2 linked regions of the Tribolium castaneum genome follow. The protein of the gene in region 1 binds, or shares a complex with, the protein of each later gene. Links are inferred from orthologs where the notes say so. Each region holds a gene or a part of one and is shown on either strand. Other genes may lie near its edges.

Evidence for each region.
Region 2: the proteins of Mccc1 (region 1) and Mccc2 are in contact, whole or in part, in a cryo-EM structure (PDB 8JXM), measured with the Homo sapiens proteins. The link is inferred for Tribolium castaneum from reciprocal best matches to the Homo sapiens genes MCCC1 and MCCC2. Residues at the interface, in NP_064551.3 of Homo sapiens: Glu519, Phe526, His531, Asp532, Phe534, Ser535, Pro536, Phe537, Ser538, Ser539, Ser540, Ser541, Gly542, Arg543, Arg544, Leu545, Asn546, Ile547, Tyr549, Thr550, Arg551, Tyr568, Tyr636, Leu637, Ser641, Glu644; in NP_071415.1 of Homo sapiens: Leu56, His57, Val60, Glu61, Lys64, Asp88, Ile91, Pro93, Gly94, Ser95, Pro96, Phe97, Leu98, Glu99, Gln102, Ile123, Gly124, Arg125, Gly128, Glu130, Arg234, Trp276, Leu278, His281, His282, His285, Lys298, Lys299, Leu300, Ile304.

The regions. Positions count from the first base shown.
Region 1 is NC_087398.1:7,347,239-7,351,529, forward strand, and holds the start of Mccc1 (methylcrotonoyl-CoA carboxylase subunit alpha, mitochondrial), read left to right. Parts: upstream 1-1,301; 5' UTR 1,302-1,431; coding exon 1,432-1,460; intron 1,461-1,613; coding exon 1,614-1,797; intron 1,798-2,916; coding exon 2,917-3,134; intron 3,135-3,179; coding exon 3,180-3,561; intron 3,562-3,606; coding exon 3,607-3,790; intron 3,791-4,071; coding exon 4,072-4,272; intron 4,273-4,291. Other genes in the region: TM9SF2 (transmembrane 9 superfamily member 2), read left to right, coding at 1-433, 480-983.
Region 2 is NC_087396.1:10,361,965-10,365,001, forward strand, and holds the end of Mccc2 (probable methylcrotonoyl-CoA carboxylase beta chain, mitochondrial), read left to right. Parts: intron 1-2,070; coding exon 2,071-2,396; 3' UTR 2,397-2,409; downstream 2,410-3,037. Other genes in the region: coiled-coil domain-containing protein 86, read right to left, coding at 2,410-2,764, 2,815-2,876. UniProt on the Homo sapiens protein: Carboxyltransferase subunit of the 3-methylcrotonyl-CoA carboxylase, an enzyme that catalyzes the conversion of 3-methylcrotonyl-CoA to 3-methylglutaconyl-CoA, a critical step for leucine and isovaleric acid catabolism.

The sequences.
Region 1 (4,291 bases):
CGGCGACGTCTTCCGCCCCCCGCGCAAGGGAATGTTCCTTTCGGTGCTCCTGGGCTCCGGCGTTCAAGTTTTCTTCATGACTTTGGTGACTTTAGCTTTCGCCTGTCTCGGGTTTTTGAGCCCGGCAAATCGGGGGGCTTTGATGACTTGCGCTATGGTGTTGTATGTCCTGTTGGGGTCGCCAGCTGGGTACGTTTCCGCGAGGATTTACAAGAGTTTCGGCGGCGAGAAATGGAAGTCTAACGTTTTGTTGACCTCGATGCTGGCACCTGGGATTGTCTTCGGGCTGTTTTTCGTAATGAATCTGGTGTTGTGGAGCAAAGGGAGCTCCGCAGCTGTGCCTTTCAGCACTTTGGTGGGGCTGCTGGCGCTGTGGCTGCTGGTGTCGGTGCCTCTGACGTTCGTGGGGGCGTTTTTCGGGTTCAGGAAAAGGGTAAGATTGTGACCGCTGTCAGGACAATTAAAAAAAATGTTTTCAGGCACTCGAGCATCCGGTTCGGACGAATCAAATCCCGAGGTTGATCCCCGAACAGTCGATCTACACGCAGCCGATTCCCGGAATTGTCATGGGGGGTGTGCTGCCCTTCGGTTGCATTTTCATCCAACTTTTCTTTATTCTGAATTCGATCTGGTCGTCTCAGATGTACTACATGTTCGGTTTTCTGTTTCTAGTATTTATAATTTTAGTAATAACGTGTGCAGAGACAACGATTCTTCTGTGTTACTTCCACTTGTGTGCGGAGGATTACCATTGGTGGTGGCGGTCGTATTTGACGTCCGGGTTTACAGCAGTTTATTTGTTTCTGTATTGCTGTCATTACTTCTTTACGAAATTGCAGATCGAGGATACGGCGTCTGCGTTCCTGTATTTTGGCTATACTCTAATTATGGTGTTTTTGTTCAATTTGTTAACTGGGTCGATTGGATTTTTCGCCTGTTTCTGGTTTATTAGGAAAATTTATAGTGTGGTTAAAGTTGACTGAAATGTACTTTAATTATTGTGATTTTTACCAACAGAATATTTTTAATAACGTATTTATTTTCGTTTCAATTTCAAAATTATTGAAGCGCACGAGTGGGCGAACATATTTTTAATAAACATGGATAACTCGCATCTAAAACTTGTGATGTATTAATTTTGTGTACGCAACTGTAAAATATTGTAATAGAAATAAATTGTATAATTTAGTATTTTATGGAAAAAGTCCTTTGACAATAAAGGATTGCACAATTGCACATTTTTATTTTCCCTTCCCTTCGTAATTAAAGACAAATATGATTTACATTTTTATCCACAAAAAGTTATTATTGTCAAGACTGAAGGTCAACAGAGGCCAAATCATTTCTTCATTGATATCAGCATCATTATGATAAAAATCGCATTTTAGTTAATAGTGTTAACAAAACTGTGCCATTAAAATCAAGATAAAAATGCCGTTGTGGGCCTCATTGTTACAAAAGTGAGTACTGTTCTATTTTAGTGATGACTTGGCAACTTTACAAAATTTTCTTCAATTAAAACACGTTCCATGTGCAATTACTACTCACTACTTATGTCATATGTGTTTTTGCCATGGATTTATGGAAAAACTAGACTTTTTTTACTATTTTAGCACAAATTTCGGCGTTCAAATAACAACAAGAAGATGGAACAGTACTTTGAGAAGGATAGATAAATTATTAATTGCAAATAGAGGTGAGATAGCTTGTCGTGTGTTGAGGACTGCCCGCCGGTTGGGCGTAAAAACGGTCGCGGTTTATAGCGACGCTGATAAGAATTCGTTACACGTTTCACAGGTAGGTTTTACCGATAAAAATAAAATATAAATAAAATTCAAAGAAAACACAACAATAAACACTAAAACAAAACTGACATTTTCATTATTTCCATCGTTCCTTTGTTAGTTTAGACTAATTTTTGATTTTTTTAAATGGTGATTATTGGTATTTAGCTTTTTTTTTATTCTAAAATAAGGAAGACTCACAGTTTAAACTATTGGTCGTAATTATGTAATCTCTAAACCTTATCGAGATTGTGAAAATTTTGATCGAATGATGTTTTTTCCACTTTTACGCTCTTTTAATTTGTACATTAGACTATTTTATTTAAACCGCACATTAAAAGAATTGTAAAAGTATTGTGAGTTTTTACAAGGATTTTAATCTTAATTTAATCATAAGCCATTATTTTTTCTAATTTCTGATTTTTTGACTTTTTTCTCGAATAAAAATTTGCGAAAATTTTTGAATTATCAGAAATATATAAAATAAAAAAATGTTTTACTAAATTAAACAAATAATAAAATTTTCCTGTGATTTCTCCATACTTTTTAAGGCTAGATTTTCTAAGAATTTTTGCTTCGAAAAATCTCGACCAGTAACCTTATACTCAGGTTGTAAAAATCTTTTGGTCTCTTAAAAAAGTCACGCAACTCACAATAAATAAATTTAAGTTTAGTGTAATTTTTTTGTAATATTTAAAAGAATAATGTGTTATGCGGAAGTAGATTTGTTTATTTATTTTATTTAGGTATGAGAAAAACGCCAACCAACCAACAAACTTCTCTTCATGTTTTATGTTAATATTTTACATTCTGTATTACTGTTATTATTTAATTTGTTGAAGTTGGTCATTGTAAATAAGCAAAATTCGTATAAAAATAAAGAATTTTCCACTTAATCTAATTGGCGATTTTCTCCGATTTTTCTCTATTATTCTGAGGAAGTTATTTTTCGGTAAAAATACGAAGAAATAGAAACAGTTATACATGTTGGAGCCAATTTTAGCCAATTTTTTGCGAAATTTCTCGAATTCAGTGTTTTTCATTACGAAATAATACGTTCGGATCTGAATGTGCGGTTTAGACGAATGCTCTGTTAAATAAATAATTCTACCAAATTATGGGTATTTAATAGGCAGATGAGGCCTATAACATCGGCCCTCCCCAAGCCTCGCAAAGTTACCTCCGAGGTGACAAAATTTTAGAAGTAGCGCACAAATCCGGCTGTCAGGCGATCCATCCAGGCTACGGCTTCCTTTCCGAAAATGTGGAATTTGCGGAAAATTGCGAAAAAAACAAAATCATTTTCATGGGCCCTCCGGCTTCGGCGATTCGCGACATGGGAATCAAAAGGTACACTCTCCACTTTCCATTCTCCCACAACTAACTTTTCAAAAGCAAATCGAAGGAAATTATGTCGAAAGCCGGGGTTCCCATAATCGGGGGTTACCACGGGGAAGACCAAGACAGGGCCAAGCTCAAAGCAGAAGCCCTGAAAATCGGATTTCCCGTCATGATAAAAGCCGTGAGAGGTGGTGGCGGCAAAGGAATGAGGATAGCTCTCACGGAGTCTGAATTTGAGGAAGCCTTGGAGTCGGCCAAAAGTGAGGCGCAGAAAGCTTTCGGCGATTCTGTGGTGCTTTTGGAGAAATTCGTGCAAGAGCCGAGGCACGTGGAAGTGCAGGTTTTTGCAGATATGCATGGCAATGCTGTTCACTTGTTCGAACGGGATTGTTCGGTGCAGAGGAGGCATCAGAAAATTATAGAGGAAGCGCCAGCGGTACTTCTTAAATTTTGTGTTATGATTGTAAATTGAAATTTTTAGCCGGGAATAAGCGAAGAATTGAGGGCTGAACTGGGGGCTGCTGCCGTAAGAGCTGCCAAAGCGGTTGGGTATGTGGGGGCCGGGACGGTGGAATTTATTCTAGACAGGAAAAGTCACAATTTTCATTTTATGGAAATGAATACGCGATTGCAGGTAGAACACCCGATAACGGAGATGATTACAGGTAACGCCGCTCGACAAAACATTGTTAAATAAAACGCAGTTTTACTTCCTAAAAACTTGCACAAGGTTTTGGATTTTCCATCGTAAACATTTTTAATTAGATGCTTCTTTAATAAGGTTTTATGGTAGTTTCAGTGAAAACTTTCAGTTCCCGCTTGCGGTCTCTCGTGTTAACCATTATGCAAATTTTTTACCAATAAATAATAGCGCAATGCTTGTCTCAAACAAATGGGAAATATTCGTTTAAATTCGGAATTATCCTTGGCTTCGTATTTGATTTAGGAACCGATTTGGTGGAATGGCAAATAAAAGTCGCTCGAGGTGAAAAGTTGCCATTAACTCAGGAGGAAATAACACTGAGTGGCCACGCGTTTGAGTCTCGAATTTACGCGGAGGACCCAAGTGGGGGCTTTTTGCCAGGGGCTGGTGTTTTGTCGTATTTGAGTAGTCCCCAAGTTCGGGATGACATGAGGATTGAAACTGGTAGATTTTTAAAATTTTT
Region 2 (3,037 bases), on another chromosome or scaffold:
GTAAGTAAAAAATCAAAAAAGAAGAAAAAAATCAATAAATTTAAAAACGTATTGACAATTTTATACAAAGAGCTTCCTCATTCGGTTCTTGCTTTATTTTATTTTATAAAATATGGTTGTCTTTTGTGTTTAGGTTTCATATTATTAAGTACTCATGCTAATTAAGTATTGAAAAAATATATAAAAAAAAAACAATTGCCACGTATAATAAAATAAGGCAAGAACAAAAAAATCCTTTTGTGTGTAATTGTCAATAAACATTTTACTTTATTTCTTCTTTTGTTTATAATTTCATATTCTTTTTTTTAACAAGAAAGATGTGTGGAAGATATGTAGCTAATATTAAAACAGTGGACAAATATGTCTGTTGTCATTAAAAAAAAGTCATTACTCAAAAACAAAAATGACATCATAAATGTCACTATCGTGTCAGCAATTAAAAAATTAAATCAACCCGTTCGAGCATTTTTTTGAAAAAGCACCAACAACGAAGATATGTATTGTACAAACTTGAATACGTTGAAAATGGTGTTATTTCCAACGTATTCAAGTTTATAAAAGTTTCAAGGACGAATTGTGTGCTTTTCTTTTAATTCAGTCAAAAAAATAATAAAAAATTAAATTCGATAATTAAATTTCTTAGAAAAAATTCGTGAGACGTTCAAGTTCAAGCCTTTTAAGAAACAGATTCGTTGTCACTGCCGGGAGAAAATTTTAAAACAATTATTTAAATCTAAACGATTGAAGATAGAAATATGATTTTAGTGGATTTTTTTGAAGGAAATTTAATTCTTTATAATTCTGTCTATTAAACATTTTACCTCTTTATCCATATTTGTACTGATTGATAAAATATAGGGCGCTCATTTCTCGTTAAACAAATTTCTAGAAATTTTACACACTTGCTTACTCGACGTAAAAATACAAAAAAGAAACTTTTAATCAGTAAATCAAATTTTAAGGGACCGTCCCTTAACTCTGAAATTAGTTGTACAAATTCTTTAAATTTACTCGAAACTACTGCATGGAATTACATGTTTTTTTTTTTAATTTAATAATTCCAAAGAAGTATTTGGAATTTATAATATTATCTTTGGAATTCATGAAATTACTGGAATTCTTTTTGGTCCGAGAATTACAATTAAGAATTACACGAATTATTTTGAAAATAGAATTCACTGTTCAATTTTTGAAATTCAATCAGAAATGCTTGAAAAAATTATCTTTGGATTTATAGAACTACCGAAAATTTGTGAATTTCATGGTTGAGCTATAAATAAGTGGCTTCAAAAAGGTCGGCTAATAATAATATGATTTATTCCGAAAAAATCCATTAGGCAAAGAATACCCCAAAAAGTTCAAGAGAATATTTATAGCTACAAGTAGATTTACTCAAGATTAAGATTAAAACATGTTAATATTAAATTCGTTGTACACTAAAACACAATTCAGACACTTACATAATAAAAGACGAGAATAAAATAAGTTTAATTTTTTGACAGTTTTATCTAGTTTAGAATACTAGTAAATAATTTATTTTGTTGGTAAAGTTATGCCTCTTGGTTTGCGTTTAAAAAATCGATTACTTGGTAAACTAAATCAAAATTTTAGATTGTGATAAATCATAACAGTGTTTAAGGCTTAGTGAAGATATGTAGTTATTTAACTATAAACAGTTAATTAAGAATCGTAGTACAAAAAAATTTCTGCGATCTCATTCATTATCAAAATAAAAACTGTGTGAATGTGTCTTATCAAAGACACATTAGTAAGGCCAATAACATCTTGACAATTTTAAGTAACTGTATCGTTTTCGTTAATTTTTACATGTCCTTAAGAATTCAATACTAATCTCTCTGAAATTTTTTGTTTGCTTTGTGCTGACCGCATTTTAAGTAGTCATTTTTTATTTCATTACTCTTAAAATTTTGATGGAACAACTGCTACATCTGGCGACGCTAACGGAAATAAGACTGGACATTTTATGTGTCCTCTTGGTGCCTCCTAGTATTTAATTCTTCGTGGACTACATTAAATTGCAAAATTTTTCAATTTGAATTTATTTTTTAGGCATGTGTGGGCGCTCCTATTCGCCCCGCTTTTTGTACATGTGGCCAAACGCGCGCATCTCGGTAATGGGGGGCCGTCAAGCGGCTGGAGTTCTATCTCAAGTGCAAAGTAAAGGCAAAAACTGGACGCAAAAGGAGAAGGACGATTTTGAGGCCCCCATTATCGAGCAGTTCGAACGGGAAGGATCGCCGTATTTTAGCAGCGCTAGGCTATGGGACGACGGAGTAATTGACCCCAAAGACACAAGGAAGGTGCTAGGTTTAAGCCTGGCAGCGGCGCTAAACGCCCAACCAGAAAAAACCGAATTTGGAATTTTCCGCATGTAGACATTTAATTAAATCACATTTTAACAGTGTCTCGTTTTTCAATATACCTCAATTGTTTCTTCTTCATTTTCTTAATCTTACTCGTGTTTGTTATGACTTGGACTATTTCGGACTTTTTGCGGTTTTCTTCTTGGCGTTTCAGGTTTTCTCGCCGGCGTTGCTTCTTCTGTTCTTTCTCTTCGTCTTTTGCAGCTTTGATCGCGCGACTTGCGTCTTTTATCCTTTTAAGTTCTTGTCTCAAGACTTGTTTCTTTTCAAATGAACTGCGGATTCCTCTAGTTTTGATTATAGATGAAAATTTCTTTTTCTCGTTCTTCCAAAAACGCCCCGACTTGGGTTTGCCTCGAATTACGTCAGGCTCTTTTGACCTTTAGGACTACATGTAGTAAAGTGCAAACCAAAATATTTTCAAACTTACTTCTTTTTTGTAGATTCACTAGTTTTTTGTACCCTACTTGCTTTAGTATTAATTTTTGTCATTTTTCACACGTGTTTAAACGTCAACAAATTCAGATTATTTTTGAGGTTAAAACATTGTAAATAATCATGGATGCCAACAAAATCAACTTAACTTTCTTTTTCTAACACATTAGCGCGACGCTTATGACAAGTTGCTCAAGTTTGTGACACTGGTAGGATTA